Linked DNA regions of Nothobranchius furzeri. The protein of the gene in region 4 purifies or fractionates together with the protein of the main gene of each other region. This does not show direct contact. Links are inferred from orthologs where the notes say so. Each region holds a gene or a part of one and is shown on either strand. Other genes may lie near its edges. The genes, in order: cullin-1, cdk5, cdk1 and ccnd1.

Evidence for each region.
Region 1: the proteins of ccnd1 (region 4) and cullin-1 purify together in Homo sapiens (affinity purification with western blotting; 4 studies listed by BioGRID). This does not show direct contact. The link is inferred for Nothobranchius furzeri from reciprocal best matches to the Homo sapiens genes CCND1 and CUL1.
Region 2: the proteins of ccnd1 (region 4) and cdk5 purify together in Homo sapiens (co-immunoprecipitation; 4 studies listed by BioGRID and IntAct, counting the BioPlex papers as one, with this or other methods). This does not show direct contact. The link is inferred for Nothobranchius furzeri from reciprocal best matches to the Homo sapiens genes CCND1 and CDK5.
Region 3: the proteins of ccnd1 (region 4) and cdk1 purify together in Homo sapiens (affinity purification with mass spectrometry; 4 studies listed by BioGRID and IntAct, counting the BioPlex papers as one, with this or other methods). This does not show direct contact. The link is inferred for Nothobranchius furzeri from reciprocal best matches to the Homo sapiens genes CCND1 and CDK1.

The regions. Positions count from the first base shown.
Region 1 is NC_091747.1:63,543,700-63,550,993, reverse strand, and holds part of cullin-1, read right to left. Parts: intron 5,832-7,294; 5' UTR 5,628-5,831; coding exon 5,488-5,627; intron 3,500-5,487; coding exon 3,325-3,499; intron 3,253-3,324; coding exon 3,085-3,252; intron 1,222-3,084; coding exon 1,171-1,221; intron 1,088-1,170; coding exon 997-1,087; intron 817-996; coding exon 653-816; intron 575-652; coding exon 412-574; intron 348-411; coding exon 217-347; intron 119-216; coding exon 11-118; intron 1-10. UniProt on the Homo sapiens protein: Core component of multiple cullin-RING-based SCF (SKP1-CUL1-F-box protein) E3 ubiquitin-protein ligase complexes, which mediate the ubiquitination of proteins involved in cell cycle progression, signal transduction and transcription.
Region 2 is NC_091751.1:49,902,662-49,910,607, reverse strand, and holds the start of cdk5 (cyclin-dependent kinase 5), read right to left. Parts: upstream 4,521-7,946; 5' UTR 4,384-4,520; coding exon 4,347-4,383; intron 4,055-4,346; coding exon 3,966-4,054; intron 3,894-3,965; coding exon 3,826-3,893; intron 3,741-3,825; coding exon 3,680-3,740; intron 3,597-3,679; coding exon 3,540-3,596; intron 3,447-3,539; coding exon 3,351-3,446; intron 3,216-3,350; coding exon 3,141-3,215; intron 671-3,140; coding exon 574-670; intron 1-573. Other genes in the region: abcb8 (mitochondrial potassium channel ATP-binding subunit), read right to left, coding at 5,725-5,808, 5,901-6,151, 6,232-6,379, 6,470-6,603, 6,684-6,778, 6,854-6,990, 7,084-7,117. UniProt on the Homo sapiens protein: Proline-directed serine/threonine-protein kinase essential for neuronal cell cycle arrest and differentiation and may be involved in apoptotic cell death in neuronal diseases by triggering abortive cell cycle re-entry. Interacts with D1 and D3-type G1 cyclins.
Region 3 is NC_091752.1:60,134,343-60,141,636, reverse strand, and holds part of cdk1 (cyclin-dependent kinase 1), read right to left. Parts: intron 6,811-7,294; coding exon 6,640-6,810; intron 6,556-6,639; coding exon 6,392-6,555; intron 3,134-6,391; coding exon 2,992-3,133; intron 1-2,991. UniProt on the Homo sapiens protein: Plays a key role in the control of the eukaryotic cell cycle by modulating the centrosome cycle as well as mitotic onset; promotes G2-M transition via association with multiple interphase cyclins.
Region 4 is NC_091749.1:21,574,727-21,582,491, forward strand, and holds the start of ccnd1 (G1/S-specific cyclin-D1), read left to right. Parts: upstream 1-2,888; 5' UTR 2,889-3,065; coding exon 3,066-3,263; intron 3,264-3,967; coding exon 3,968-4,183; intron 4,184-4,669; coding exon 4,670-4,829; intron 4,830-7,765. UniProt on the Homo sapiens protein: Regulatory component of the cyclin D1-CDK4 (DC) complex that phosphorylates and inhibits members of the retinoblastoma (RB) protein family including RB1 and regulates the cell-cycle during G(1)/S transition.

The DNA.
Region 1 (7,294 bases), on a different chromosome or scaffold from region 4:
GAACTCTGACCTTATCGAGGGCCGCCACAAAGCCAGCATCATTGTTGAAGGCGGACATGACGAGGGCGTTGTACTTCTTATGGACATCCAGGGTCGTCTGGACATAAACTTTTGGGTCCTGAAAGACAAAAGCAGCTTTTCTGAACCGATCCATAAAAGAACTCCTGGTCCTACAGGTTCTGTCGGGTCCCGATGGTTCACAAAGTGTTTGCGTACGTTGAGCGCAGCCTCTCCACACTTCTCGATGGCGGCCAGGCCCTGGTTGTGGATGTGAGTCTCCAGAAGTTTCTTCAGTTCTCCGAGACCGTCGGTGATCCGCGACACCAGGTTGTACATCCGACCCAGATCTGGAGCGGACGGAACCAGAACCCATTAAACACAAAAATCTCTGATGATGTTTCCCAGCCTCACCTTCGTTCTTGTCGGCATCCAGCAGGTTCTGGAACTCTGTGTGGAAGATCTCCAGGTGCTTCTCGATGAGGACCTGCTCGCACTTCCGGGCCAGCTCGTCCTGCGTGGACTCGTGGAGGTAGACCTGAACGCGGCGCTGCTCCTCCAGGAGACGGGCCTCTGCCTGAGGAACCAGCAGACTCGCTTAGACGGAACCAGGACACCAGAACCCGCTCACCTCCAGACGTCTGCAGGGGCTCACCTTCTTCATGTACTCGGTGACCGGGTTCTGCTGCAGGAACTCGGTGCTCTCCCGGGTGTAGAAGCGCTCCGTGTCGGTGAGGAACTGACACTCAAAGTATTCCTTGTAGACGGAGAGCGTGGGACCTTTGGCGAAGGCGTCCTCCTCGTTCAGACCCAACTCCACTGGAGGACAGACCAGAACCAGCAGAACCACAAGTTTAACCCTCACTTTGGCCCACACAGAGACTAAGTTCTGCTGAAACCCGACCCATTTCTGAGCAGCAGAACTCGACCCAGAATGAAGGTAAAAACCTGATGAATAAATGAAACCCAGGAAGTTCTGACCCGACCCAGAAGACCCACCGTAGGACTGGACGACTCCGCTGATCAGTCGGGTGTTGATGGTCTCTCCGTTCCGCTCGCGCTCGATCAGCTTCAGAACGGCGTTTGTTACCTGGTGGTGGTGGTGGTGTGGGGGGGGGGGTTAACGTTTAGAAATAACAGCTGATTCATCTCCGACTCGTCTAGAAGACTCACCTGTTTGTTGAGCGGTCGGAATAAACACTCCCTCCACGTGACCAGAGCCAGCTGCAGAAACATGAGGTCAGAGGTCAGTGTGTGTGTGTGTGTTTACCAGCCTCATGTGGGACGCCGTCTGTCGCCCAGAAACAGTTTGGTGGTGCGGGTCAGGGTCCTAGCTTAACGGATGTTAGCCTTTATCTACGTGGGTAGCTACTAACAGGCTAGCAGTTAGCCTTTATCTATGTGGGTAGCTACTAACAGGCTAGCAGTTAGCCTTTATCTACGTGGGTAGCTACTAACAGGCTAGCAGTTAGCCTTTATCTATGTGGGTAGCTACTAACAGGCTAGCAGTTAGTAGCTACCCACGTAGATAAAGGCTAACAGGCTAGCAGTTAGCCTTTATCTACGTGGGTAGCTACTAACAGGCTAGCAGTTAGCCTTTATCTATGTGGGTAGCTACTAACAGGCTAGCAGTTAGTAGCTACCCACGTAGATAAAGGCTAACAGGCTAGCAGTTAGCCTTTATCTACGTGGGTAGCTACTAACAGGCTAGCAGTTAGCCTTTATCTACGTGGGTAGCTCCTAACAGGCTAGCAGTTAGCCTTTATCTATGTGGGTAGCTACTAACAGGCTAGCAGTTAGCCTTTATCTACGTGGGTAGCTACTAACAGGCTAGCAGTTAGCCTTTATCTACGTGGGCAGCTACTAACAGGCTAGCATTTAGCCTTTATCTATGTGGGTAGCTACTAACAGGCTAGCATTTAGCCTTTATCTATGTGGGTAGCTACTAACAGGCTAGCAGTTAGCCTTTTCAATTCATCGATCGTCAATAAAAAGCACAAGAAGGAGAAGTTTGCATTCTCTGTCGGCATCGTTGCGGAGGCTGGAAGTGAGAGTAATGTCTGCGGAGGTGAAGCAAAGAGCTAAAACCAGAGTGAACATCGGCATGACCTACGCTAGTCTCGTGGCAATGACATCACAGACTGATGGTGACCTGGCCTTGTTGCTACAGGACCTGTAAGTAATACTTTTGTCCAACAGTGTGGATCTGTTAGCTCGTTGTTAGCGCTAGCTACATCAGGCAACTGCAGGGTTGTTTAAGACCATTGTAATTCCACTTTCCACCAGTAGGGGGAGGATCAGGAAACTGCTGTTTTATTATAAGAGAGGATTTGTATTCCCTCATTAGTGAACTTTACTGATTGTACCTAAACCCATCACAGACCTGCCAACCTTGTAATAATCTTTGAGTACCACATGTGCAGCGGTTTTTGCAGACCGTTGCAACTCCGTTGTTTTCCACGCTGTAATGTTCCCGCTCACCGGATGTTAAACTGAATTAGTTCCCTTTCTAGTTTCTAATATGGAAAGGTTTATTCCAGCTCATTTTTCTACTTCCTGCATCTTTAATCTGCTCTAGTTATAAAACGTTTTATTTGATGGGTGACCAAAATAAACTCCTGAACTAAACGTAGCCGTTTATAAACCTGAAGGACTGAAAAACATGTTGCCGACACGAGAATCCAAACTCACAGAAGAAAGTTGCCTTGTTTGGACTTCCACTGACCTGCTGAGGGTTTTACATTTACCAGCCGTCTGTTCTGGGTTTAGCTGCTAATGTAGACTCTGGTCCAGGAGGGGCGGGGGTGTTACGCTACAGCTTAGGCAAAAATATTCTTCCTGCGTTTCTACGACGATTGGCTAAAACTTCTTCGCCAGGCTGCTGCGTCGTGTTGCAGACATGAGCACCAGGCGTGCACATCCGCTACAGAACTCACGTGCCTGCAGCTTTTGGCGTACTTTAGAGGGGTGAGTCGTACGGGCGTATTTAGATGTTGCGCATTTGCTACGTAAAATAAGTACAGGTTGGCAGGTCGGCTATCAGATCTTCACTGACACACACAGGGTGTGGGTGACCTTTGACCTTACCGAGTAGATCTCGTAGATGCCCTTGCGGCCCTCGTCACACTCCCGTCGGACCCAGTGGCGGTTGAGGTAGGCGCAGATCCCGTTTAGGACCTTACTGGAGAAGCGGTAGTCCTCCCACTGCTGGGTGTAGAACTTCAGCACACACTCGTCCATCAGGTCCTCGCCATCCTGCAGGGACACGCAGCAGTTAGACCAGTGAGCTGCAGCTCGATATCGTGACGAGCGTCAGGCTGGACGGACCTTCAGCAGGCTGGTCAGGTAGTTCTTCAGGAACTCTTTGAGTCGCTTGTAGAGCTCCAGCCCCACAAACTGAGCCCCTCCCGGGGTGGTGGACTTCTTGGAGGGCTTGGCTGGAGCCAAGGGGCCTCTGACCTGGCTGGACTGGTGGACGCTGGTGCAATAGTTATATACATGTCTGAGGAGCAGTTCAGGAACTCTGTGGGTCTCTACAGGTGAGGAACGGGATGGTTATGAAGGTGTTAAACGTCGTGTCTCTACGGGTTAAAGAACCAATAAATAAAACCTGCTGAAGTGATTGCTTCCTAGTTTTAGACAAACCAGGACGCAGACAGGAAGTACCACACAGCTGTTTAGTTTCTACCATAAACTCAGTTCTGATCTGGTTTTATTCTGAAAATCTGAGACTTTATAATAACCTGTTACGTTTACTAAACTTCTGGTTTCTGGTTCAGGTTCTGGTCACAGCTCAAACCTAGAGCTACTTTAGCAAATCTACAGAACAAGCAGACACGCCCCCCCACCCTCAGGTATCTTCCCTGGATCCGCGTCCGCCAACCAGAAACCTGCGATGCTGGAGGAAGCGAGATAGCGCTAAACACCAGTCACCGCTTTCTAGGTCCAAACGACTTTTGTTGTCTGTTTTTCTCTTTGGGACTCTGGTAGTTTGTCCCACAGCTGAAGCGGTAGCAGCGGCTGTTTCTCCTACTCTGGTGTTGTTGAGTGGAGGACCTTACACACCTGCGGTGTGCTGCTGAATACGTGAGTGTGATGAGCAGAGGTGGAAAGTAATGAATTACATTTACTCACGTTACTGTAATTGAGTAGTTTTTTTGTATATTTATAATTTTTAAGTCGTTTTTAAAATCTGTACTTTTACTTGAGTACGTTTTTAAAAAAGAATTGTAATTCGCTAAATTTTAAATCATATCCGTTACTGAGTAAAAATGAATTATAGGCTTAATAAATTAAAAATATTACGTGTAGCAGCGTCGGAACGGAGAGAGACACCTGCATGAGCACCGCCTCTAAACCGGGGGTGGGGGGGGTACACTTCTGCTCTAAAACATCGGTTCAGTCCCTGTGATCCACGCGCTGTTCACCTCCTCTCTGGGTTGGAACCGCACCTTCACGCACCGGTGTGACGTCATCACAATTCTGCTCGGTCACAATTCTGCTCGGTTCGGTAGCCGGACTCGGTTCCGTGTTAGAAACGTGTTTCCCTACCGCTCCGCACGGCAGCGGCAAAATAACGTTTAGCGCTCCTAACAAGCAGATTCTCAGCGCTCTGCTCATAAAACAGGATACCTGCAGGCCTCTGTGAGTTAAAACATCCTGATACTGTTCAGGTGTAAACATTGTGCTCCATCCCTGTGTTTGAACTCAGAAGATGCTCCTTGATGCCACAGATATGTGATGATTTAGCTTGTTTCTTTATTTTACTCCAGAATAAGAGATTAAATTATTACTAAAGTAGTTCAGTGTAGTTAAATTAGTCATTCACATGATTCTAACATGCTGCTGTGTGTGTGTGCGCGCGCAGACACACGAGTGAATTGTGAACTGGCGTTGTGAATTAGCACTACTTGGATGTAGATGTACGCTGACAAAAATGTTACTTTGAGTACATTTTGTTTACGATACTTTTTACTTTTACTTGAGTAAAAAATTATCAAAGTATTAGTACTCGTACTTAAGTAGGAACTTTGAGTACTCTTTCCACCTGTGGTGATGAGTGGAGGACCCAGGGACCCGGGTGGGTGGTTGGTTTTGGTCCGAGTCGTGTAGTTGGTGGAGGTTTTTAGACACAGTGAGAGGACCACTTTGTTTTTATCTCCATGACGACGTTTGTATAGCTACTCCGCTGGAACGCTGTTAGAGGCATGAAAACATGTTTCAAACTCATTTATTGTCCAGAGCAGCTTTAAAGGTGCTTCACGGTTTAACGCTGCGAGAACGTTCTGGTGCAGATTAAACACGTAAACGGCTGTAGAACCACTTTTGGACCAGTCCGTCCCTCTGCGGGTCGGGACCGTCGGGGACACGGATTGGGATCTCTGAAACATTCCTGATGTTTGTTTTATTCCCTCTGAGCCTGGTGTGACACTACTGTAAACAAACAGAACCACTATGCAACTGGGTTTGGGTGGAGGCCCGGCAGGATACGTGTAGAGCTCCATGTAGCGGGCCTTGGCCATGCTCTGCCGCGTGTACACCTGCTGGATTCCAGCCCGCAGGTCATCCCAGATCTGGTCCAGACCGATCTGTTTCAGTCCATGAGGGTTCTGTCCCCTGTTGGACGACATGGTGGAGCCCCTCGTCCTCTCCTCTGCCCTTCCTGCTCCCGCGCCGCGCCGCTCCGCTCCTCGGCTGATTTCAGTCCTGACTCGCTGCTGCCCTACAGGTCCAGGTCCATCTGGCAACAGCAGAAGAGCTTCAGGAGGCTGTTGGCTGTGAGAAGATGCAGTCCCACTCCACACCCCTGGGTGGTGCCGTCTTCACCAGGGGACCTGAGAGATGAAACACATGAATCATGTGACGAATCGAGTGTAACCAGGCGAGTTCCACAGGTTTCCCTGCCTCTGACCCTGCCCCCACCCTCATGTCACTCAGCTAAACTCAGATTATTCCACTTCTTTGCTAGCAGCTGATGTTTAGAGCTCACACCTGAACCAGGTCATTTCATCCCACAGGTAAACAGAGCAGGTAACGATGGCCGGGATTATAGCATAACGCTGTACTTTAATCTGAGAGGAAACAGCTGCAGCAGGAACATAATCCAAGACTTCATACGTTACTGATGAGATTAACTGCTCATTTATGCAGTGTGTGTGTGTGTGTGTGCGCGTGCGTGCGTGTGTGTTATATTTAGCAGCAGCAGGTGCTGATGCCAGTCCCAGACTCCAGGGAAGGACAGGAAGCTGAGACACCGGTTCTGGTTCCTGATGACCTTTGACCCCTGACCTGGCTGCAGCTGTAAACCCTGTGGTGATAAATCCTCGTGTCTGCGTCACTAAGCCAGACAGTTACTGTTGTTTTCCATGAGCTGGGGTTAATACTCCGGCTGACTCACACTGGGAACGCCGACAGGAATTCATTCTGATGTTTCCTGAACTTCCTTTGGGCTGACGGTGCAGCTGGCCGTGGAGCTGGCGGCTGCGCGCCGCTACGGTGCTGATCTATTCTGGGATTTCGGGGCATTTTTGTTACTGTAACACACCAGTGATAAAACCTTAGTGACCAGCAGCTGAACTTCCTAACTGATCCAAAACGCTTCAGAGGAACAAAACAACAAAAATAAACTTTTCCGCGAGGGAGCACCAGAACCTCCCAGAGTAAAGACCACCACGAGTGCTCTCTTTGTTACTGGTGGCCTTAAATGGGCCCTGGCCCCTCTGGTCTGTGGTAACTGGTTTCCATTCCCGACTCCTGAACCTGAGCTCAGGAACAGACGTGAGGAGCTTGTGAGGAAGAAGGTCAGCTGAGTAAATCTGATTACCGTGGTAACCGTGTGTGCGGTCTGATAGCCTACATTCAGACACAAACAAAACCACTGTGTGTTTGTGCCGAGTCAGCACGCCACAGATTTATCCCTCCTCTACCTGAAGACTCTGCTGCTCCAGGATCCGATCCTGATGAAACCTGAACAGGTAGCAGAAGGAGGAACTTCTCTGTGATGAGCTCATGCTAACAGCACATCAGCGACGATCAGACGGTTATTCGTGTCATCTGTAGGACTGCCACGATTAGTCGACTCATCACGACAATGTTGACAAACAAAAGTCGACTATTCATCTAATAGCCGACGCGTTGTTTATTTTATTAACATTTTTAAATCTCGCCTGCCGCAGCACGTTCGGTGGTTTCTTCCTGCGTCTCTGATCAACGCACATGCGCAGTAGCGGGCATCCAGGTCAGCCTTCATCACCGGAGAAAGAAAACACGGTGAGTCAGCAACGTAGCTAAAACGGTT
Region 2 (7,946 bases), on a different chromosome or scaffold from region 4:
AGATATCTAATATCTAAAATATTCCCAACAATTACTTTGAGAGAAGGCACGAGGGACAGGTGTGAGGAAGGTCACAACTTTGAATAACTACTCTTCAGAATCCTCTCATCCCCTTGGGGTGATTACAAGAGGAGATTTCCCTTTCCTGAGTGATGGAGGAGGAGGAAATGATTTCTGATTCACAAGAGGACGTGAGGAAGCATAAGTTAGCATAATTTAAAGCATCAACGGTGTCACTGATTTCACTTAAGCAGGCATAAATAATCCTTCAGCTACTGTTGAGAGTAATTGAGCTGAAACTTAAAATACATATTTGGCTAAATAAATTCTCCTCATCAGCTAAAAAGCCACTGTGCTTACTGCACCTGAACTTCCCATGCATTCTTATACATCTGGATTTTATTTTGTACAAAGTAAAAGAATTGCATGAGATAAAACTGCAGTTGTAATTATTAGCTAATAGTAATCAAATTACTAAAGTAGATAAAATATGAATATTTAACCATTTACACACAAATAATGACTTATAAAAACTTTACCTTTCACATTCACAAGTGGAAAAAAATAACAAACCTGCAAATATGCACCCGGCTGACCACATGTCGATGGAGGTAGAATAAAGTTTAGCGCCAAATAAGACATCTGGAGGTCGATACCACAACGTCACCACCTGCAGAGACGTTAGCAGCATTACAACAGCCCAGTGTTTTGGTGCTTTTTGAGGTGAATCCAACTTGAAGTTCCCGCAGCACCGTTAACCTACACCCACCTCCATTTTAACTCAAGCGTTGGTGCATTTGACCAAATTGCTGCATTGCCGGCTATTTTACATTTATTCCTCCAAGTTTTGGAAAACACTGTCACCTGAAGTGCAGTAGAAGTCCAAATTATGATGCATTAACAGAACAGTGTGTGGGCTGGCTGGTTTTCAGCAACAAAGGATCAAAAGTTCTCACAGCGATGCTGATGTTAATGATGTGGCCACCTGTTACTGAAACAGCATTTTGTACATGAATGAACTGAACGTGTCACTGAGGTAAAGGAACACCCTGTAGAAAAACAAAAAGCTTCACAGAAGGTGCAAGATTTCTCCTGAAACAGCTGTGCTTGTTTATACTACCGAGTTTGTTTAAAACTGACAGAAGTAACTTTTGGTGTTTAACTTCAAGCTGCAGAAGAATTCTTTAGAAGTTTTGCTAAAAGGTTTGAAGAAATAGGATAAATAATGAGTAAAGAAGTCCCGGTCCCAACATATAAAAAACTATGGAACTAGGACTGGGACAATATTACATTAAACTTGTACTTAGTTTTGTAACTTGTAATATGTTTTGTAACTATGACGTTGTAGAATGTAATTTTCATTTTGTAACATGTAAAGCCGGGGGTACACTGTGCGACTTTTTCACTCGCAGCGTTCAGCTTCAGCTCAAACTGTACGACTTCCTCGCAGAGCAGATCTCACGAGTCGTGTGCTCACACTGTACGACCCAGTTCTCGCATGCGATCTGACTGCTCACACTGTACGTCTGGTAGCAACACGTCGGCCCTAAAAATGTGCTAAAAATAGCAGTTTTTACTCAACACGTCAGACTTTTTTGTCTTGCCTGTTGTCCTTCGGGAGTGCTGCAGGAGGACACACAGAGACTTATGGGGGTTGAATGAGGAAAATGAAATAAAGAAAGTGAATCTGTGTTTTGTGATCAGTTTAATTTGACATGAACACGACAAACACGCTTTCTTGACAATCTTTGTGAGTAAAAAAAACGTGTAGAAACAAAAACGAACAGCGTGTGTTATTAGGGAAATAGCGAGCGACCGGCCGGCGTTGATGCAGGATTGCGCGCGCATGCGCCGTGAGCGGTTCTGATACTTTTTTGGATCGTAGCTGCTCGCAGCTGCTCGCAGCGCTGCTTCAACAGTGCGATACCCTCACGAGGGATGAGCAAAATATTAAACACACCAGAAGTCCCTGCGACCTCACGACTGCTGATCGGCGGCTGGTCACGTGGTGTTAATCGCCTCTCGTAACCCCCTGCACACTACACGACCGCTCGGCGCAAAACTCGCCCCGATGTCGTGGATTCTCGCACGACTGGAAAATCGGCTCAAAAAAGTGAAAAAGTCGCACAGTGTACGCCCGGCTTAACTTCGGTACATACCATGAAACTTTCATTTTGCAACTTGCAGAAAACAATGTACAAATTTCAAATTACAACTTTCAACACACAAATCTCAGTCTAGTTACAAAACTCAAGTCTACAAATACAAAACATTTAGGAACAATTCTAGCTTGCAGGAAACAGGAATTTTATTTGAAAAGGAATCCAAGACTCATGATTGGCTGGTCAGACAAAGCCTGTCATTGGTTCTTTGGGAAGGAAGCTAGAATTTGGACAAAATGTTTTGTACTTGTAGACTGAGATTTGTGTGTTGAAAGTTGTAATTTGAAATTTGTACATTGATTGTTTTCTGCAAGTTACAAAATAAAAGTTACAGTTACAAAACATGTTACAGGTTACAAAGCTGGGTACAAGTTACATATTGTCTCAATTCCAGTTCCATAAAAAACCTCCAACCTCCATAAATATGCAGGAATCTCAGCTAGACTTGATTGAACACAAGAAAAACTTCCCAACTCTTTGTAAATGTTGCATATAAAAATAATTTGTCACATTTTGTCAAACAGAGGTATGATCTTTTTGTTTTCTGAAATAAAACAATCTTATAAATGACCTAATTTCAAACTCTCAGTGTTTTAAGTTTTCAGTTTGCCACATTTCTACATTGTAGTGTCACTCTGGTTGAGCCTTTCATACATAAAAGCTTGGTCCTGAGGTCAGTCTTATCATTTTTTCAGATAATAAACAAATTTCTAAAATTTCACGTCCCTCTGAACAACCCACTTAACATTTATATGCACACAGAGGGACACAGATCTGTCTTTGTTGCTCAGTTTAATGTCAAACATAGTGTGAAAGCAACCCACACATATTTCTATGTGTACTACATTTTAGTTAATTTCTAGATTTTAAATCTCACTTGTATAAAAAATTGCAAATAAAATCATCTTGGCTTCTCTCTTGCAACAGATTCAGAAATTTCCCCTACTTTTAAAAAAAAAATTCTAATGTCCAACTTACCTCTGCTGAGTAACATCTGACAGGAATGCCGAAGGCTCGAGCCAACCCAAAATCAGCTAGCTTCAGTTCTCCGTTCTACAGATGAAGAAACAATTTATACATTTCTTTATTAATCCCACCACCAGCACAGCATTTAGCTGTGGTTCTTTAATGAACATTGAATTCAGCATTGCGTAACAAAAAGAGCATAATTCCTGATTTGATACTTACTCTGTTGATGAGGAGATTCTGGGGCTTCAGATCTCTATGAAGAACATTTCGACTGTGACAGAAAGCAAGGCCTTTCAGCAGTTGGTACATGAACGACTGCAGAGGGAATTCAAGAATAGAAGTTAAATTTAGTAACAATCAATTTAACCTGTAACTATCAAGGCAACCAGGTGTCATGTCTCATGTCACCTTTACAGTTTCTGGATCTAGATCGCCATTACAGCTGTCAAAATACTTCTTCAAGTCCTATATTGGACAAGAAAACACACTTTAGCAACATAATGTCTATATTAAAAGGAGGGGGAATATTTGGAAAACTAGTAACTAACCTGATCACAATATTCAAAAACCAAGGTTAACTTCTTGTCACTGTGCAGCACATCATGTAGTCTGGAGAGAAAAACAATCAGATGATTCATTTTGGCATCAAGTTATTATTTTAATGCTGCTTTTTAACTCCTCTGGGTAAACAGACCTGACGATGTTCTTATGCTTTAATTCCTTAAGAAGACATATTTCTCTCAAAGCTGAACTTGGCACTCCCTGAAAAACACCTATCTGGGTTAGCACTAGCAAGCTAAACATTAGCGTCTATCTATATTTTAGTATACCAACCTCGTCGTCGTCGTCCAGCCTGACCCGTTTCAACGCCACTATTTCGTGGGTTTCTCTATTTTTTGCCTTGAAGACGGTCCCATATGTACCTACAAAATAAATAATGTCCAGTTGTCACAAACCGGATGAATGCCAAAGCAGCTAGTTAGCTATTTATTTACATACCCACCACTAGCCTGTTACTGGCACCGTGAAATTTATAGGAATCGGCTTACGTTTATAAAGCAAACTCACGCAGATTTGCATTAAATTTAAGTACTATGCATATGAATAACAAAATATATAGCATATACACAAGTCTAATTCAGCAAGCCCTGAGCTAGCATTGATGCTATGTTAGCGTTTACTTCAGCAAGCTAATATTGCCCCAAATAAACTCACCCTCTCCGATTTTTTCAAGCTTTTCATATTTCTGCATGTTCTGTGAGTGAAACGAGCCTTGATGAAGCTTGCAAACAAATGAAGGACAAAACCCCGAGCCTGGGGTGGCTAGAATATTGCAGAAGCTAACGCCGATACTAGGCTCAGTGAGTCAGTGTTCTGTTTAGACCGCAACAACAGGTGCGCTCTTGGCTGACACCTAGAGGGCAAAATATGAACTGCTGGATGCGGAAAATGTTATTTTGGAGCTTCAACAAATAAAGGCAAGATAATATTTAACTCAGTGAGAACTAAAATAAAAAGCCATTAAGTTAAGCATATTTAACGAAAGAAAAGAAGGAAAAACTGTTGTTTTAATTATCTCTGATTAATGCATCGTTATTTGATACTGACTCCATAATACCTAAGCACCATCTAATAATAGCCACTGGGAAAGTCATGTTGAACTTTAAAAGAAAAAAATCACATTTACTATAAATGACTTGCTATAAATGACAGAAATATAAAATGAACGTTTCATTTTAACTGCCACTGGGGTCAAATTAATTTTAGAATCAGAAGGATTTTATTGTCACATGTGCGAGGAATCACAACATTAGGAAATTGCTGCTCTTAGATAATAAAACCATACTAACAATTTAAGATTCATTATAGACAGATATCTGAACAAAACACTCTTAGACTGCATCCCCTCATTTGTAAGATGATCGTTTCAAATCAAATCTCTGACTGCAAATGTTCTCTTGAAAGCCATCAGGTTACATTTGTATTTTTTAAACGTTTCCCAGAGAGTCTGATTTATCCATCTAATGGAATAAACCTCATTTCAAAGTCCGATAAACCTCAGCGCTTTATTTGTTAAGCCTTGTAAACAAGATTGTAATCCTGTTTACTAAGACAGCAAATATACTAGGTGTGGTGTCTTGGTAAAGATTTTTCTTAGTGCTAGAGGATATCTGAGCTCTGTGTTTAAAGATTCACCAGTTAAAGAACATTCTGAAATAACTGAAGCATTTCAAAGGAAACGCAGAAAGCATCAAAACAGCAGTTCCCAAAAGTTAGATCACAAAAACAAGATTCAAATTTTTATACTTTAAACGGTTTAATAATGTTTTAGTTTTTAAATGTTTATGTACTATTTTTCCATACAAGATAGACAAAAACCCAGGGGCTATATTTTTATTTTAATTTATCTGCACAGTAGTGTATTTTGAAATAAACACATTGGTCCATTAATACTTAAACACAAACTGTTTAAAATGTATAGCTAAGCTGCTGCTAAACTGAAAGCAGGTAAATGTACTACACATTTGATGTTATTTAATAAACAAATGTTTTTTATATATATAACTGGTCTACTGGAAACAAACTGTTGTGTCTATTTTTGCCCCTCGGCTTTTTGTCTGCGGATCAGATCAGAGTAGAGTCCTCCTTTGCCCAGTAGTTCCAAATGTGTCCCAGCCTGCAAAGAAAGAAAACATCTTTTTTAATAAACTGAGACATTTAATCAGAGGTCAGAGTCCCTCTGCTTCCTTGGATACGCATCCTCCTCACCTCGACAACACGACCGTTGCTCATGACACAGATGAGGTCGGCGCCTTGGATGGTGCTCAGTCTGTGGGCGATGATGAGAACAGTGCGGCCTCGTGTGGCTCTGTCCAGAGCTTCCTGGACCACTCGTTCAGACTCTGCATCTAAAGCGCTGGTGGCCTCGTCCAGCACCAGTATGCTCGGGTTCTTGATCAAAGCTCGGGCAATGGCGATGCGCTGCTTCTGTCCGCCTGACAACGTCACACCTCGCTCACCTGGAGACCTGGATTTTAGAATTTACAAGCAACACAATTTCCAACCTGAACGTGACGGTTTGGATAACAAACCCACATACCGACCGTGGTGTTATAACCATCTGGGAAACTGGTAATAAAGCGGTGAGCGTTGGCTTGCTTTGCTGCACTAATGACTTCAGCATCTGTGGCGTCTGGCTTCCCAAAGCGGATGTTCTCCATGATGGAAGATCCAAACAAAACAGGTTCCTTTGAAACAGCACATGAACATAAGTTTAAACCTAAACAAAAGCTGTATATATACTCATGCTCAGATAATTAACTGATTGCACTTTCTACCTGATTAATGAATCCAATGACTTGCCCTCTGAGCCAGGACAGGTCCAGCGTTCGGATATCAAGCCCGTCCAACATGACCACACCACTTGTTGGGTCATAAAAACGTTCCAGTAAGGCAGCCACGGTGGACTTTCCTACGGGGGTTTCACATTTATCAACCAGTAATTATTCAACTTTATATTCTAACAGGAAACCAGCCAGCGTTTAAAATCACCTCCTCCAGATTCGCCGACAACTGCCACGGTTTTACAGGGCGGCAGCGTTAAGTTAAACTTCTTCAGGACTTCGTGGCCGGGTCTCGTTGGATAACTATGAACATTTTATTTAACTCATTAAATATCCTGATATTGTGTTGAAGTGTCTTGAATATTAGAGGAATTCTACCTGAATGAAATGTTCAGGAAGTCCACTCTTCCAGTCAGAGAATGATATGGGATTCGTCCTCCTCCACAGAGAAGGATGGTTGGCTGCAAAGAGAGGTACTCAAAGACCCGAGCCCCGGAGCTTATTCCTCTCACCACCTGTGAATAATGTTATAGACGGCATCAGCTTGGCTCCAAATAAAACCGAATATGATGTATAAACAATATATAGCATTAATTAGTGGTACTGACCTGTCCGAAAAGGATGGAAATACTTGCTAAGGACCTGGAAATGAATGAGATGCGTTTGTTAAAGGGATATTCCACCCCTTCATGAACTTTTATCTGTTGCCATATTCCACAGAGTTGGAATTCTCCTAATCGGGCCGCACTCCACTTGCTTTAGCTTAGCATAAACAGTGTAAGTGAATGGTAACAGCTAGCATGCTGTGGGAAAGTAATGATCCTAAATTTTCACTCTTGTCCTCTGGTGTGACATGCTCCTTGCAAACCAGATGTTGAGTTATTTTCTCCACGGGTGTTGACGGAGGAATTCCCAGGGCAGCAAGCGGTTATCTTTGTTCCACATTGGATGGAATTCTGTGAAACAAGCTGCATGTTTTTGCATCCCTTTGCTACACAAACAAGAGCCATTTTCTCGCATTAGAAATGTAACCCATTCAAACAACGGCAGTAAAAACTCAGTGCGGCTCACGCATTTGTGTTTACAGAAGCAGGTGTCTTTTGTGGCCGCTGCAACGTATCCTTGCGTCTTGCAGCGGCGGCTTGCAGCGCTGCTTTGCCATAATGTAGTCCCAAATCTAAATCGACTCCTAAAATTCCTTCATGTTACTTATTTTCATTTGCAGTTAATAAGGTTATTAAGGGTCACCAAGAAAAACTGAGGATCACTAATGAGTCATTTTTATGATGTTTTCACACAAAATGCTAGCTGCTACCATTCACTTACATTGTTTATGCTAAGCTAAAGCTAATGAAATGCTGCCATCTGGTTACAAAATGACTTTCTCCATTTTTCTAACTCTGGAGAATTTAGAAACAGGCTAAATTTCACGTAGGGGAGGAATAATATCGGTTTCCACACATTTAATAAA
Region 3 (7,294 bases), on a different chromosome or scaffold from region 4:
GCTTTCGCCTACATCATGGCCCCGCCCTGTAGGAAGCTGCCGTTTTCGTTTCGCGCGCGTGAACCTGCGCGCCTCTAGCCACGTACTGCACTCGTACGATTCGTGCACGTACTGCACGATTAGTTATAGTCACGTGAACTATAAGTTCACTATTAAAGACGAAGTGGAACCACGCTAGAAACACAAAAGCACGCAGGAAGATCGCGCCACCAGGGATTGGATTTCTTGATGAAATCTCCGGCAAAACGCTTTAAAACTGGTGAGGAGAAGCGAGACAGTTCGAAACGGTATGAAGCAGAGAAGCGTGTGCGTAGGTGGAATGATTCTTGGCGATTTAAAGAAGACGGGAGGCGCAGAGAATGGCCGTGTTCGAGTTGAGCAGCGCCTCGCCTGGAAAACATACGAGAGCAGACGGAAGCAGCAGGGGGAGTGGCTGAAAGACGGCGTTTCGCCGGGGACACACCGGCCGCGGAAGCGCCCGAAGCGAATCGCTCACGAAGTCCGGCCGCTGCTCGCTGCTCGCCGCTCCTCAGTTCAAATCAGACGCCCCCATTCGAGGCGCGCCTCGGCTCCGCTGTGGATTTTCTTTTAACTACCTGGTGTCCTCAATTTCCTCAGCTCTTTTCCTCTACGAGTGAGTGAGTGAGTGAGTGAGTGAGTGAGTGAGTGGAGAGAGAGGGAGAGGGAGAGGAGAGGAGAGAGAGAGGGAGGAGAGAGAGAGAGAGAGAGAGAGAGAGAGAGAGAGAGAGACTATGGTGTGAACCAGTTGTTTCTGCCAGTTGAATCTCTTGGATTTTCCTACATGTGTAGCTCGGGGGTGACGATGGATGAAGATATCGCGTTAGCATTCACACTTGTTCAATTTTCAATTTTAATTCTGGTGCCTGTTAGCAGCTGAAACACATCCTCACGTGCTTGTGGATATCATATATTGTATATGAAAACATGACTGTAATAATAAGTAAAGGTTAGCAGCTGTAGGTTTAGTGTGCTCATAGGAAACGTGACAAAAGAAAACAAAACACATTTCTCTTTATGGCCTATATTGTTGTTATTATCAGCGTAACATGATTTACAGAATACATGTGACCAACTAACATTTCATGTTCTACCACCGGATGTTTGGATCAAAATATGAACCAATCAGATCTTAGATCAGGTGAGAGCCAGGCGTTTCCGTCATCCTCTAGGTTTTGCAGCCGAGGGAGAGCAGCTGCAGCGCCTTGCTCCAAAATCTGCGGCCGCCTTGATCTCACGAGGATATCGTTGCCTACGTATGCATGACGTCAGAGCAAGTCGGCGTCAATTCGGACACAAATCTAACCGGCATGCACTGCTCGCCGATCACCGCTGGTCTAACCTGCGCAGAACTGGCTCATCTCGAACACAGTCAATGGCTCGAATACAGCAAAGCGGAGTTGGTGATGTACTGCGTTGTATGCCGGAAGTATGCGACGACAAAATCGTGTTTTGTTGTGGGAACAAACAAATTCAAACTTGAATACGTTATTATGTTTGTGAATGTGTACAAAATAAAGGTTTATTACATTTAAAACGGTTCCGTTTTTATTTTGACTCGTTTTGGCAGCTGACCAGTGGGGCCGGTAGATTCTTGGTGGGGCCGGTAAATATTCAGAGTTACCGGCCCGGCTGGCCGGTTGGTTTTGAAGTTAATGTCCACCCCTGGCATCCTGGTGCAATAAGCTAAACTTTTATGAATGACACGATTAGTCGACTACTGAAATACTCATTTGTGGCCGCCCTACATTCTACCCTTTTCCGATTCAAGACCACGGTCTTGGATTTAGAGGAGCTGATTCTTATCCCAGCCGCTCCACACTCTGCGGCTGGATTTTTAACAGATTTACTTCACATAAGATTTTCTAAGTGTCTGAGAAAAGGGATGTCCGAGGACACTTGGATAATGGTCATTACAATTTCGGCTTGTGATTTGTCCAAAACTTAGAAACAATGAACCCTTAAAAGAGGAAGCACTTCCTAAGGCAGTTCAGCAGGGTGTCCAGCCTTCATGCCAAATTAACCTCTCGTTGGGAGATCAAACCAGACCTTTCAACGGAATATCATTTTAGCGGCATAAAGAACCGTCCTTTTTCAGAATCAACCAATTATTTGTTTAATCTGCAAGACAACTCATTTCTCCTAGGGAGCATCTCTTCAACCACTCGTGCGTATTCTGAGGGGTGCTACGACTCTCACAGGGTAGCTCCAGGTTTGACATAGTGACATTTAATACCTTTTCAGTAAAATTTAATGCCGGGTCCGTGGCCGGAAGTATATATCTACACTTGCGACAGAACTTTACAGCAATCCTCAGACTTGGTATATATCAGCTTTTGCCTGGGATGGGCCTATTTAATCAGCTTACTGTACTCTTTATGAGCACGTTTTTAAAAAGCACCGCCCATATCAAAGGGCCTGGTACCCAATACTCAGAGTACTCCTGACAGGGCCTCCCAGGAGACGCAGTCGAATGCCTTCTCCAAATCTACAAAACGCATTGGGATTGAATGGGCAAACCCTCACACACCCTCCAGCATCCCTCTAATGGTACAGAGCTGGTCCAGTGTTCCACCGCCAGTATGAAAATCACACTGTTCCAGCTGAATCTGAGGTTCGACAATCCCACGGACCCTCCACTCCAGAACACCCTAGCAGACCTTACAAGGGAGGTTCAGGAGTGTGAGTCCCCTGTTGTTGGTAAACACGCTGCAGTCCCCTTTCTTAAATATGGGAAACCACCACCCCAGTCTGCCGATCTAATGGAACCACCCCAGATTCAACGCGATACTGCAGAGCCTTGTCAACCAAAACAGTCCCAACTAAAATCCCTGTACTTAGCAAATATTCATCTGTGATTAATATGTTTTGGTCCCAGTTCCAATATTAGAAGTTGATCCATGCTCGACTTTCCTCCCATCCAGCTCAGGCCATTACTACATCTTAGAAGTTCAGTGTACTCTTCATCCTCACCGCTAGCAGGTCCAATCCATTCTTGTCCAGGTTCTTCACCATGGATGGTAGGTTTCCAGATTTCCACTTGGGGAATGTGTTTTTATAGTCAGGGAGGCTCTCCACGTCAGGCCACACATCATTGTTTGGGGTTCCTAGTGTCCTGGAGAAAAAAAGGGGGGACAAAATAAATGAAATGGTCTGGGCCACCTGTGGCTCAGTGGGTTGGTGGTTCAATCCCAGCCTCCCAACTACATGTCCTAATGTCCTAGGGCATTGACCAAATTTAACACCTCAATCTGTGATTGGCTGAGGGCCAGAAAAGCTCTTCAAACATTTATTTCATCATCTTCCTCTGTCAAAGCAGCCATTTCCTTTTTAGTTGGTTGTCAGCAATGAGTCTAATCAACACAAACCTGATGCTGCTACTGTAACCCCCTTACAGCCATTTACTAGCATTAGTATGTTATCATACAAGCTTCTCTCACACACCACTAACTGTTAGCAGATGGTGGGTTGGGTCCTGACCCGTGTGTTAGGACACACATCTGGAATGTTTGTCTTCTCCAAAACTCCAGCTGTTGATTGAAACACGTTTTTTCTATAAATCTTCTATGGTCTCTGGTATGAATGGCTTGTGAGATTTTCTCTGTAGGAAAAAACCCGATGCTCCTGTTTCAGGACGTAGGAGTTAGTGTGAGGTGGAAAACAGCACGATTTGTGCGAAAAGTATGGTTGCACACCTGGTGACCACAGATTCACGCTTCTATTGTTGAGCCACTGTTTCATAGCAATCCAAGATGGAGGTCGATAGAGAATGAGAAGCTCGTTATTTGTTTAACGGCATCAAAGTATTTGTTTTGTAAAGAATGTGAAACTACATAAAACCAACATCAGACTGCCCAAAAACAGGGGTGGACATTAACTTCAAAACCAACCGGCCAGCCGGGCCGGTAACTCTGAATATTTACCGGCCCCGCTGGTCAGCTGCCAAAACGAGTCAAAATAACAACTGAACAGTTTTAAATGTAATAAACCTTTATTTTGTACACATTCACAAACATAATAACGTATTCAAGTTTGAATTTGTTTGTTCCCTCAACAAAACAAGATTTTGTCGTCGCATACTTCCGGCATACAACGCAGTACATCACCAACTCCGCTTTGCTGTACTCGAGCCATTGACTGTGTTCGAGATGAGCCAGTTCTGTGCAGATTAGATCACCGGTGATCGGCGAGCAGTGCATGCCGGTTAGATTTGTGTCCAAATTGACGCCGACTTGCTCTGACGTCATGCATACGTAGGCAACGATAACCTCGTGAGATCAAGGCGGTACACATACAGGGAAGTCCAAGAGATTCAACTGGCAGAAACAACTGGTTCACACCAAAGGCGCGCGCGCTCTCTCTCTCTCTCTCTCTCGCTCTCTCTCTCGCTCACACGTAGAGGAAAAGAGCTGAGGAAATGGAGGACACCAAGTAGATAAAAGAAAAACTATAGCTGAGCCGAGGCGCGCCTCGAATGGGGCGCTTCTGAACTGAGGAGCGGCGAGCAGCGGTCGGACTTCGTGAGCGATTCGCTTCGGGCGCTTTCGCGGCCGGTGTGTCCCCGGCGTTAAACGCCGGCTTTCAGCCACTCCCCCTGCTGCTTCCGTCTGCTCTCGTCTGTGTTCCAGGCGAGGCGCTGCTCAACTCGAACACGCCCATTCTCTGCGCCTCCCGTCTTCTTTAAACCGCCAAGAATCATTCCACCTATGCACACGCTTCTCTGCTTCATACCGTTTCGAACTGTCTCGCTTCTCCTCACCAGTTTTCAAGCGTTTTGCCGGAGATTTCATCAAGAAATCCAATCCCTGTGGTGGCGCGATCTTCCTGCGTGCTTGTGTGTTTCTAGCGTGATTCCACTTCGTCTTTAATAGTGAACTTATAGTTCACGTGACAATAACTAGAATCGTGCAGTACGTGGCTAGAGGCGCGCAGGTTCACGCGCGCCAAACGAAAACGGCAGCTTCCTACAGGGCGGGGCCATGATGTAGGTGAAAGCCGGTGTGTAAATGACAAATAAGGCTTGGGCGCCACCCGGGCGGTAAGTCGTCAAGTATTTACCGCCCGACGAGAAAATGTTGCGCCATTGGCGCTCGGGCGCTTTAAAGGTCCACCCCTGCAAAAAACAACAGTTCTTGTATGTGAAGCTGTATCTGTTTGTATTAATGTGGAATTAATCCGTATATTTCCTTAGTTGTCATGTAAATACATTCATTCATTTAAAATTTTGCTTGGTGTCTTTTCAATAAAGTTTTTAGATTAATCAAAATCAAGAGCTTTTGAGGGTCACTGATTATCAGTTGACATCTTTGCTTTTATTTTACATTTCCTTTGAAAATTCAAACATATTTTCTCCAAAAAGTGTTTGTTTTTGGACTACAGGACTATACCTGCTGAGACTATAACTGTAAACTCGTTCTGATGGTCAAAATCATCAGCGTCAATGTGCTATTGGGAAGTCCCCGCTCCGAATTGCTGCAGCCACACCTGCAGCTCATCTTGGACTGAGTGTGTTTGTTCCCGTGAGGGGATAAAAGGAACGCTGGATACACGCCCGAGGAGCTACTCCTAACCCATGAGTAGTCTCCTTTTCTGCTCCGTTCTGGACACCCTGACTTTGTAGAATACGATTGTGATTACGTGCGCGTGTTTAGAGGAAAGCCTCTGCATGGTATTCTGCTTAAGCTTGAGTCAGTGGTTTGTAGTATTTAGTGCCAATTGCTTCACACTGGTATATTTGCCTGGACAGAAAACCAAGAATTCTCTGTTCTTTAAAAGGTTCGTTTTGTTTGGCTTCAGAGAGCTTTTGGCTTATAGAAACCCGTAGAAACTCGTACCAGCCTATGTAACTATTTCATTTTAAAAGCTACCTGAGATCTGTTGATTATAGTCTGTTTTCCAGCTTTTAATTAAAAGCTGTGATTTTCCTTTGGTACCTTTTTTTTCGTAGTTGGGCTGTGTCTAGTGGCATTTGTTAGAACCTCCAGCCCCAAGAACAAGTGTAAGCTGTGTAACAAAAATAATGTGTGTTTTAATTAAATAAGGAAAATATTTTTATACCCAGGTTTCTTTCTCATCTGTTCTTATCTTTTCTCTGTCCTCTTAGCATCTTAAAGTAAGGGGTAAAGCATAAGTTAAAACCTAACAAGTAGCTCAGAATAATAATAATAATCAAGTCATCAGAGTTATTGTATATTACAAGGGCTGTTGGCAGGAAGGATCTCCAGTAGCGGTCAGTGTTGCAGCCAAACTGAAGAAGCCTCTGACTGAAGACACTGCAGCGTTTCACACCGTGGTCAGTAGTCAAATCGCTTAATCCTTGCAACCATATAAGCTACCCGATTCCATTATTAAACTGGAAATTTGTTGGATATACCTGAAAATCCTGAAGAGTTGGTCTATCTCTGAGTCTCCATGGAATAGCGGCTTCTTGGTGGCAAGCTCAGCAAAAATAGTTCCAGTGCTCCAAACATCCACAGGGGTTGAGTACCTGGCTGAGCCCAAAAGGACCTCTGGAGCGCGATACCACAGAGTTACAACCTAAGGACAGCAGAGTAGTAACATAAGTAAGCTGACAGCTGTGCGCTGTCCAGGATTTATGGCTTTGGTGTGAAAGATGCTCACCTCATGGGTGTAGACCCTGACAGGAACACCAAAGGCTCGAGCCAAGCCAAAGTCTGCCAGTTTTATAACACCCTTGTTGTCAATCAGCAGGTTCTGAGGTTTCAAATCCCGGTGGAGGACTCGACGGCAGTGACAGAAATAAATTCCTTCCAAAATCTGATAAAGGTAGCTCTGGAAAGAGAAGCTTTAATGTACAACCCCATCTAAACAGGAGAACCAGGGGTCTCATTTATCAAGCTTGCTTACGCACAAAACGGGGTCGGAAAACTGCAACTTTCCACGAAAACTTAGCAGAAAAACTTATGCTCATTTTGGACATGGAGAGCACCTGCAATGCTGCTTCTGAGAAGGATACAATTATGAATTACAGCAGCATTATCACTTGTATATGCATGAGATCCACAAGGCACTTTGCATTGACCATTTATGGCAGTAAGTGGGCGTGGTGAGGGCGGGATGTGACTAAAAAGCAGCTGAGAACCTTTCTCGTTAGTCTCCGATTTATGAAGCGGAGATTGCGTGCAGCTGTGGGTACTCCATGTTTGATAGATCACAAACCTACTTGGCGTAAGTACTTTTTTTTGCAGAGCTTAAGTACAGTTGTAGTACGGATTCTACGCAATGTTTGATAAATGAGACCCCTGGGCTTTAACCC
Region 4 (7,765 bases):
AGTCGCACAGTGTACGCCCGGCTTTAGTGCACCCATAGATGTGTGTGTGAGTAGCTAGAATATGACGGCTTCATGTGTATGACAAAAAATAAGTAACTCAACGCACAAATTAATCTGATAGTAAATAATAAAAATAAGGGTATTATTATTATTAGCAATAATAATAATAATAATAATAGTAATGATATTAAAAATACTAAAAATGATTTAATTTTAATGATATAAATATAAAAATATTAATGCTGATAATGATAAATTATTAATAACAATAACAATAATAATAGTAATAATAATAATGCTGATTATGATGATGATAATAATAATTATAATAATAATAATGCTGAAAAACTTATAATAATGCAGATCATGCTGATAATAATATAAATAATAATAAATAATAATAATAATTATGTGTTTGCTGAACTTACAGCCATTTTCCCTCAGCTTTCTCCGTGTCTGGTTCGATGATGTCACTTGCGTGAAGCGCATTTGTAGTCCTGGACTTATTTTCACACAAAACCTAAAATATTGTCCCCCCATTCGAAAATAAGTGCATTCTTGGTATCAAAATGCATCTTTAAAATTCACGGATATAATATGTGAAATCCACGGCACAAAACAAGCAGAATTAGAAAATAGCATTTTATCCCCGTTGATTTGCACACATACACATACATGTATGTATGTATGTATGTATGTATGTATGTATATATATATATATATATATATATATATATATATATATATATATATATATATATACATATATAAACTCTCAGCAAGGAGGTTGATTTAACCTGAAAGTTAGTATGGACCAAAGTGCTAAAAAAATAAACAGCTGACCTTCCTTTGTGCCATAGTTTGTTGTGCTTTAAGCCAACAACACTGTGAGTTTTCACGTTTTTGAACGTTTTAAAGATGAAATCAAAAGTCAACAATGCAGCTACTATCACAGTTAACCCTGAACTTTTGTCCTCCATGCGGCAGCCCTGGCATTACTTTCTATTTGAGAGACTGATGTGGTCAGCAGTATGAGACTGCCTGCTGGCTTCCCACTGTCTCTTTAACCATCTACTTATTGTTACCATAAAGCTGCTGAAAGAGCCTCACTTCAAAAGTCACATGCTCCAGCTCCCTTTGTTTCCCACAGGATCTGAATGTGGGACAGAGAGGACATGACTCAAACAAGAGGACAGGATCAGACTACAGCTGGTGGGAGATTTTTTGTTTGAAGTCACTGCAAAGTTATTTCCAAGTAATACTACAACTACTACCACTACTACTACCACACTGTAGTGAGTCCTCTGACTCTGAAAGGTGCTATACAAGTGTAAATCATTTGTCATTTACTACTACTACTACTACTTATACTAATAATAATAATAATAATAATAAAAGTGGTTATCAGATGAAGAGTTTTATGAATGAATGAACAAAGGCGACCAAACAACAGTGGGCTGATTGTGTTTTATCTCAGCTCACATGCGAATCAGAAAGGATCTCATAACATCTCAATATTTCAATGAATCAGAATATGAATCTTAACAAGATTCCAAAGTAAAATGTGAAAGTGAGAGGTTCTGGTCAGAGCGACCCGGGACGCTTCACTCGCAGTCAGGAAAGTGTGTAAACTTCTGTTTTCATCATTGTACGTTTTTGTGAGTGTTTTGAGACTGTTGTTTTGAGATTGTCATCACATAAAGCACAATAAAATGTATTATTGTTATTAAATTTATTATGATGTGTTTCTGTTTGGAGTTGTGTTGTTTTCTTTACCCTGACAACAACAAAGTGAGCCTTGAGGACAGTGGCCAGAGAGGAGGCTCTATTCAGGCATTACGGTAGTGAATCCAGCAGCCAGAGAGGAATTCCAGGAATGCTCAAAGGCTCTGACTCAAATTGAAACTAGACTTGGATCTTCTGAGTTTACACAGCAGCTGTGTCCACGAACAAGTTGGTTCTGATCCAACAAGCTCTCTCACCACTAATATGTTCTACTGGCTGAATAAAGCAGCTCAAAGAGGAACATCTGTGTCTAAAGATCCAGTTCACACTTGGACTGGGTCAACCACCATCACCCAAAACAGGATTCTGCCTGGTAACAGCAGGTCCTCCCATTGGTCCAACCCCTGTGTGTGTGTGTGTGTGTGTGTGTGTGTGTGTGTGTGTGTGTGTGTGTGTGTGTGTGTGTGTGTGTGTGTGTGTGTGTGTGTGTGCGCGTGTGTGTGTGTGTGTGTGTGTGTGTGTGTGTGTGTGTGTGTGTGTGTGTGTGTGTGTGTGTGTGTGTGTGTGTGTGTGTGTGTGGATCTAGTAGGGTTAGGGTTCTGAATGGAGGTCTCATTTTAGTGATGTCACATGTTCTGGACCATGTGGTTCCTGCTGATCTGAACCCAGTAGGGCTCACAGGGAACCTAGCAGAATCCAGTAGAACCAAAACTCCACCAGTAGGTGTGAACTGAACAGAACCAGGGTCCTCTGTGGAACTCAGTACCAGAACTACAGAGTTGGACCAGTACTCGGTCTAGTTTTGGGTCGTGATAAGGTGAGATGAATGAGTTACTCCCCCCTCCTCCTTGTGTCCTCTGCTGTTCATTCACACCGAACCGAACCGGCAGCAGGACAAAGGGGGAGGGTCACTGCCGCCCCCTGCCGCCTGTTGGGCCCGGAGGCCCGGTCCCAGACCTCCCACCTCCTCCTAGGGCTAGAGGGAGGAGGGCTCTTCCTGCTCGCGCGCTTGCAGACCGCTTCTCTTTGATCTCACCTCCTCCCACCGCGGCCCCGCCCCTTAACAACAGCCTACGTCACCCGCCTTTACTTGTTCCCAAGCGAAAAAGCCGTTTGTGTGTGGGCGTACAGACACGCGCGCGCAGGGAGGTGCGCGCGGAGGTTTTGTTCGCCAGAGCGAGGCGGTCCGGACCTCAGAGGACTCGCGCACACCAGAGGGGCAGCAGCACACGGAGCAGCCCTGACACCGGGATTCAAAAATACCAGATAGAAAAGACACCGGGCCGGTTCTAGCAGGACACTTGTACCGAACCGGTTCTCTCTGTGTTCCGAGCCAAACCATGGATGAGCAGCTGCTGTGCTGCGAAGTGGACTCCATCCGGAGAGCCTACCAGGACGTGAACCTGTTGAATGACCGGGTCCTCCGAACCATGCTGCGGGCCGAGGAGAACTACCTGCCGGCTCCGAACTACTTCAAGTGCGTCCAAAAGGAAATAGCTCCTAAAATGAGGAAGATCCTAGCGACCTGGATGCTGGAGGTGAGTTTTGATTGTCCCTGGGAATGGTTCCGGTTCTGATCCGGCTGCCCCATCCAGCTCCGGTTTGGACCCGGTCTGGACTGCCGTACCGAAGGCAGTGAGGTCGAACCGATCCGGATTTACTCCAGAATTCACAGTAATGTACACGTATGCAGTCCGGCCCAGCAGGTCCGGACAGTGCGCCATCTTTGCCACCGACGAGATAGGATTTAAAGTCCGTTAAAACCAGTCAGACATCAGCCAGAACCGAGCCGGACCCACCAGGCTCCACAGAAACCAGACCAACTTCAGTTCCACTGGGTCTAAAACTGTCTTGGTTCCGAACGGCTCCGCTGAGGATGGCAGACCAAAAAAAAAAAACAGTTTTAAAGGATGAAAGGGTACCAAATGGGTCTGAAGGTTCGGCTCAGTGTCTCCGGTGTTCTCACGCGTCTGCAGAAAGACTCGGTCCTATTCTGGTCATTTTTATTCATTTTACAAGCTGCCTGGACCGGTCTGGTCCGGACCCGAACCGAGCACGCGAAGGAGCCTCGTGCCCAAACCCAACAGGTCCCGAGGGGCCGGTGTGTCCGAACGTACCGAGTTCTGGTGATTAAAGTGTGTGTGTGCGTGTGTGAGATAGAGAGAATGTGTGTGTGCGTGCGTGTGTGTGTGTGAGACAGTGCGTGTGTGGAGGACTCACCTGTCCGCTCCTCTCCCTTCAGGTGTGTGAGGAGCAGAAGTGTGAGGAGGAGGTCTTTCCTCTGGCCATGAACTACCTGGACCGGTTCCTGTCCGTGGAGTCCAGCAGGAAGAGCCGCCTGCAACTGCTGGGAGCCGCGTGCATGTTCCTGGCGTCCAAGATGAAGGAGACGGTTCCGTTAACGGCGGAGAAGCTCTGCATCTACACGGACAACTCGGTCCAGCCCGGAGAGCTGCTGGTAAGGGCTTTAGGACCGTGTGGGAGGCTGCTGCAGGCACACCAGCAGATCAGGTGTTTAGAAGAAGAAAAAGTTTCTCATTTAGCAAACATCAAGATAAAGAATCACGAGGCTCTTCACAAGAGCCAACAATAAATACTAATATAGAAAATAAAGTAAACAGGAGAGCCTGAGAGAGACAGAAACACCAGCATGAAAAGAAGCCAGTGAGGAAGAAGAGGAGATCAACCTCATCTTCATCACTAGCATCTTTTTTGAGGTGTCAAAAACCAGAACAAAGGTCACGTCACACTTCACCTGCAAGGTTGTCCTCTCCTCACGTGTGTCCATCCCACCAGAAGGTTGTGGGAGATGGAACAAATAGTGTTCTTCTGGAGCGTCTGACAGGCTTGTCTGGTGGTCTACACTGACCCCTAGTGGCCGAGAGGTGCAGCAGCAGGCAGACGCTGAGTTAACGTCTGATTGGTTGTTCTGGTCCACCCACAGCAGATGGAGCTGTTGGTTCTGAACAAGCTGAAGTGGGACCTGGCTTCAGTCACGCCTCATGACTTCATCGAGCACTTCCTGTCCAAACTGAAGATCCATTTGTCCACAAAGCAGATCCTCAGGAAACACGCCCAGACCTTCGTGGCTCTCTGTGCTACAGGTGGGTGCTGGACGTCAGGATTCAGGAGTGGATCCACACACACACGCACGCACGCACACACACACACACACACTAGTGTTGTCAAAAAAATCGATACCTAGATATAAATTGATACTAAAAGTGGTATCTAAATTAGATATTCCATCCCTGTGGTATCGATATTATGGACTATTATACACAGCCTTCTTCAAGTACACCAACACGCACGACAGCCAGATGCCGTAAAGAAGCCTCCGCCTCCCAGACAAACAGAAGAAGAAGATGCCGCATGGCTACATTGCAATTTCCCACGCGAGTTGTCTCCGATCCAAGTTTTGTCTGCCAAATAATAAACAAAAACATAAACAGCGAATTTGGGAGGCGCTTCACAGCCCAACTTCATTAGCATACCAAGTCCGACACGTAGTTGTATATTCACGCTTATGTGCTTAAAGGAAAACTCCCATTTATTGCAACCCGGACTTAATTTCTAGCATGCAGTACGTTTGTTTACTCACGCTGACAACTTTGGTGCTACTTGGATTCTCCGGGGTATTTAGATCCATCGGCAAATCGCCATCAGCGTATATCCATATAACGGGTGCGGACGGGCACCCATGGTGCAGCCTTGAAATAAGACATTATCTGCACCAAAACATCTCTATGTCGAAAGGTTTAGTTAGGAATCATTAACATGATTCCCCTGTTCGTTTGGAGCGGGTCTAGGATTTCTAGGCGTGAACAGACTAGCCGCGGCTAATCTAACCGGTGCTTTTAATTACGTCACTGCTGTGCGCCAATCTGTTTTTATTAAGATTACCGGTAGATGTACCTTTGTCCTACTGTGGAGAAATTCGTTTTCTCCCTTTATTGACCAACAGAGTTGTTCAAAAGTACAGAACAAAACATATGGCATTACATCTTATGACAAAAATGCACCTTAAACAGAGTTTAAGCAGCAAAACATCACTCTGCAAATAGTGTGTATATAGTGAGACAATTCATGATTTAAAGTGTTAACTTTGGCCAGTTTTTGTATGCACTTTTTAAAAAATGCTGATACTTGAAAGGTTTAAGCACTTAATACAATTAATTCTTAACATTTAATTTTTGCAATATAAATTGAGGAATTTTATTTTTTGAATAAACTTGTTCAATAAATTGGTGTTTTTAAATAGTATCGAAATCGAGCATCGAGTTTTTTCCAGTATCGAATCGAGTTTGAAATTTTAGTATCGTGACAACCCTAACACACACACAGACACACGCACTGTCTCTCACACACACACACACACACACACACACAAGCTCACACACACACACACACACACACACACACACCAGGGTTCCCACTCTATTCTTGAAATTATTTTCAAGACTTTTTCAGTGTACAAGTCAAGTTATCATAACTACGGTTTGCCGATATCCCGTTATATTTAGAAACAGATATGATATTGTACCTACCTACACCGTTATTTTGACAATATAGTTGGGGAAAGATTTTTGTCTTTCACAAGCCCACCTGCTTTCCTCTACTTACAATGCAACACAACTAAAGCAGAAGTTATTCTCTACTTGAGTTCATACCAGAGGTGTGACATTGTGGCATCATCAAGTCATCTCCATGTCCTGTTTTTGTTCTGCTCAGCAATTGAACCAGGTTAATCCACTGTGCTGAATGAAATCGTTGTCGTCTTCCTCCGCTTATCCGGGTCTGGGTCGCGGGGGCAGCATCCCAACTAGGGAGCTCCAGACCGTCCTCTCCCCGGCCACCTCCACCAGGACCCCAAGGCATTCCCGGACCAGATTGGAGATGCAACCTCTCCAACGTGTCCTGGGTCGACCCGGGGGCCTCCTGCCGGCAGGACATGCCCGCAACACCTCCCCAGGTAGCTCCTAACCCTATCTCTAAGGCTGAGCCCGGCCACCCTATGGAGGAAACTCATTTCGCCACTTGTATCCGCAATCTCGTTCTTTCGTTCATTACCCAAAGCTCATGACCATAGGTGAGGATTGGGACGTAGATCGACCGGTAAATCGAGAGCCTGGCTTTCTGGCTCAGGTCCCTCTTCACCATGACAGATCGGCTCAGCGTCCGCATCACTGCAGATGCCGAACTAATCCGGCTGTCGATCTCCCAATCCCTCCTACCCTCACTCGTGAACAAGACCCTGAAATACTTAAACTCCTCCACTTGAGGTAGGACCTCTCTTCCGACTCGGAGTTGGCAAGCCACCCTTTTCCGGTCGGGAACCATGGTCTCATATTTGGAGGTGCTGATCCTCCTCCCAGCCGCTTCACACTCGGCCGCGAACCTACCCAGCAAGAGCTGAAGGTCAGAGCTGGATGAAGCTAGGAGGACCACATCATCCGCAAAAAGCAAAGACAAGATTCTCCTGCCATCAAACTCGACAGACCCCACACCACGGCTGCACCTAGAAATTCTGTCCATAAAGGTAATGAACAGAACCGGTGACAAAGGGCAGCCCTGGTGGAGTCCAACCCTCACTGGGAACAGGTCTAACTTTCTACCAGCTATGCAGACCTAACTCACGCTCCTCTGGTAAAGGGACTGAATGGTCCTTAACAGAAAGCCACCCACCCCATACTCCTGGAGCGTCCCCCACAGGGTGCCCCTGGGGACACGGTCATAAGCCTTCTCCAAATCCACAAAACACATGTGGATTGGTTGGGTAAACTCCCATGCCCCCTCCATCACCCTTGTAAGGGTATAGAGCTGGTCCACAGTTCCACGGCCAGGACGAAAACCACATTGCTCCTCCTCAATCTGAGATTTGACTATCGATCGCGCCCTCCTCTCCAGTACTTTTCCAGGGAGGCTGAGGAGTGTGATTCCCCTATAGTTGGAAAACACCCTCTGGTCACCCTTCTAAAAGATGGGGACCACCACCCCGGTCTGCCACTCCACAGGAACTGCCCCCAATGACCACGCAATG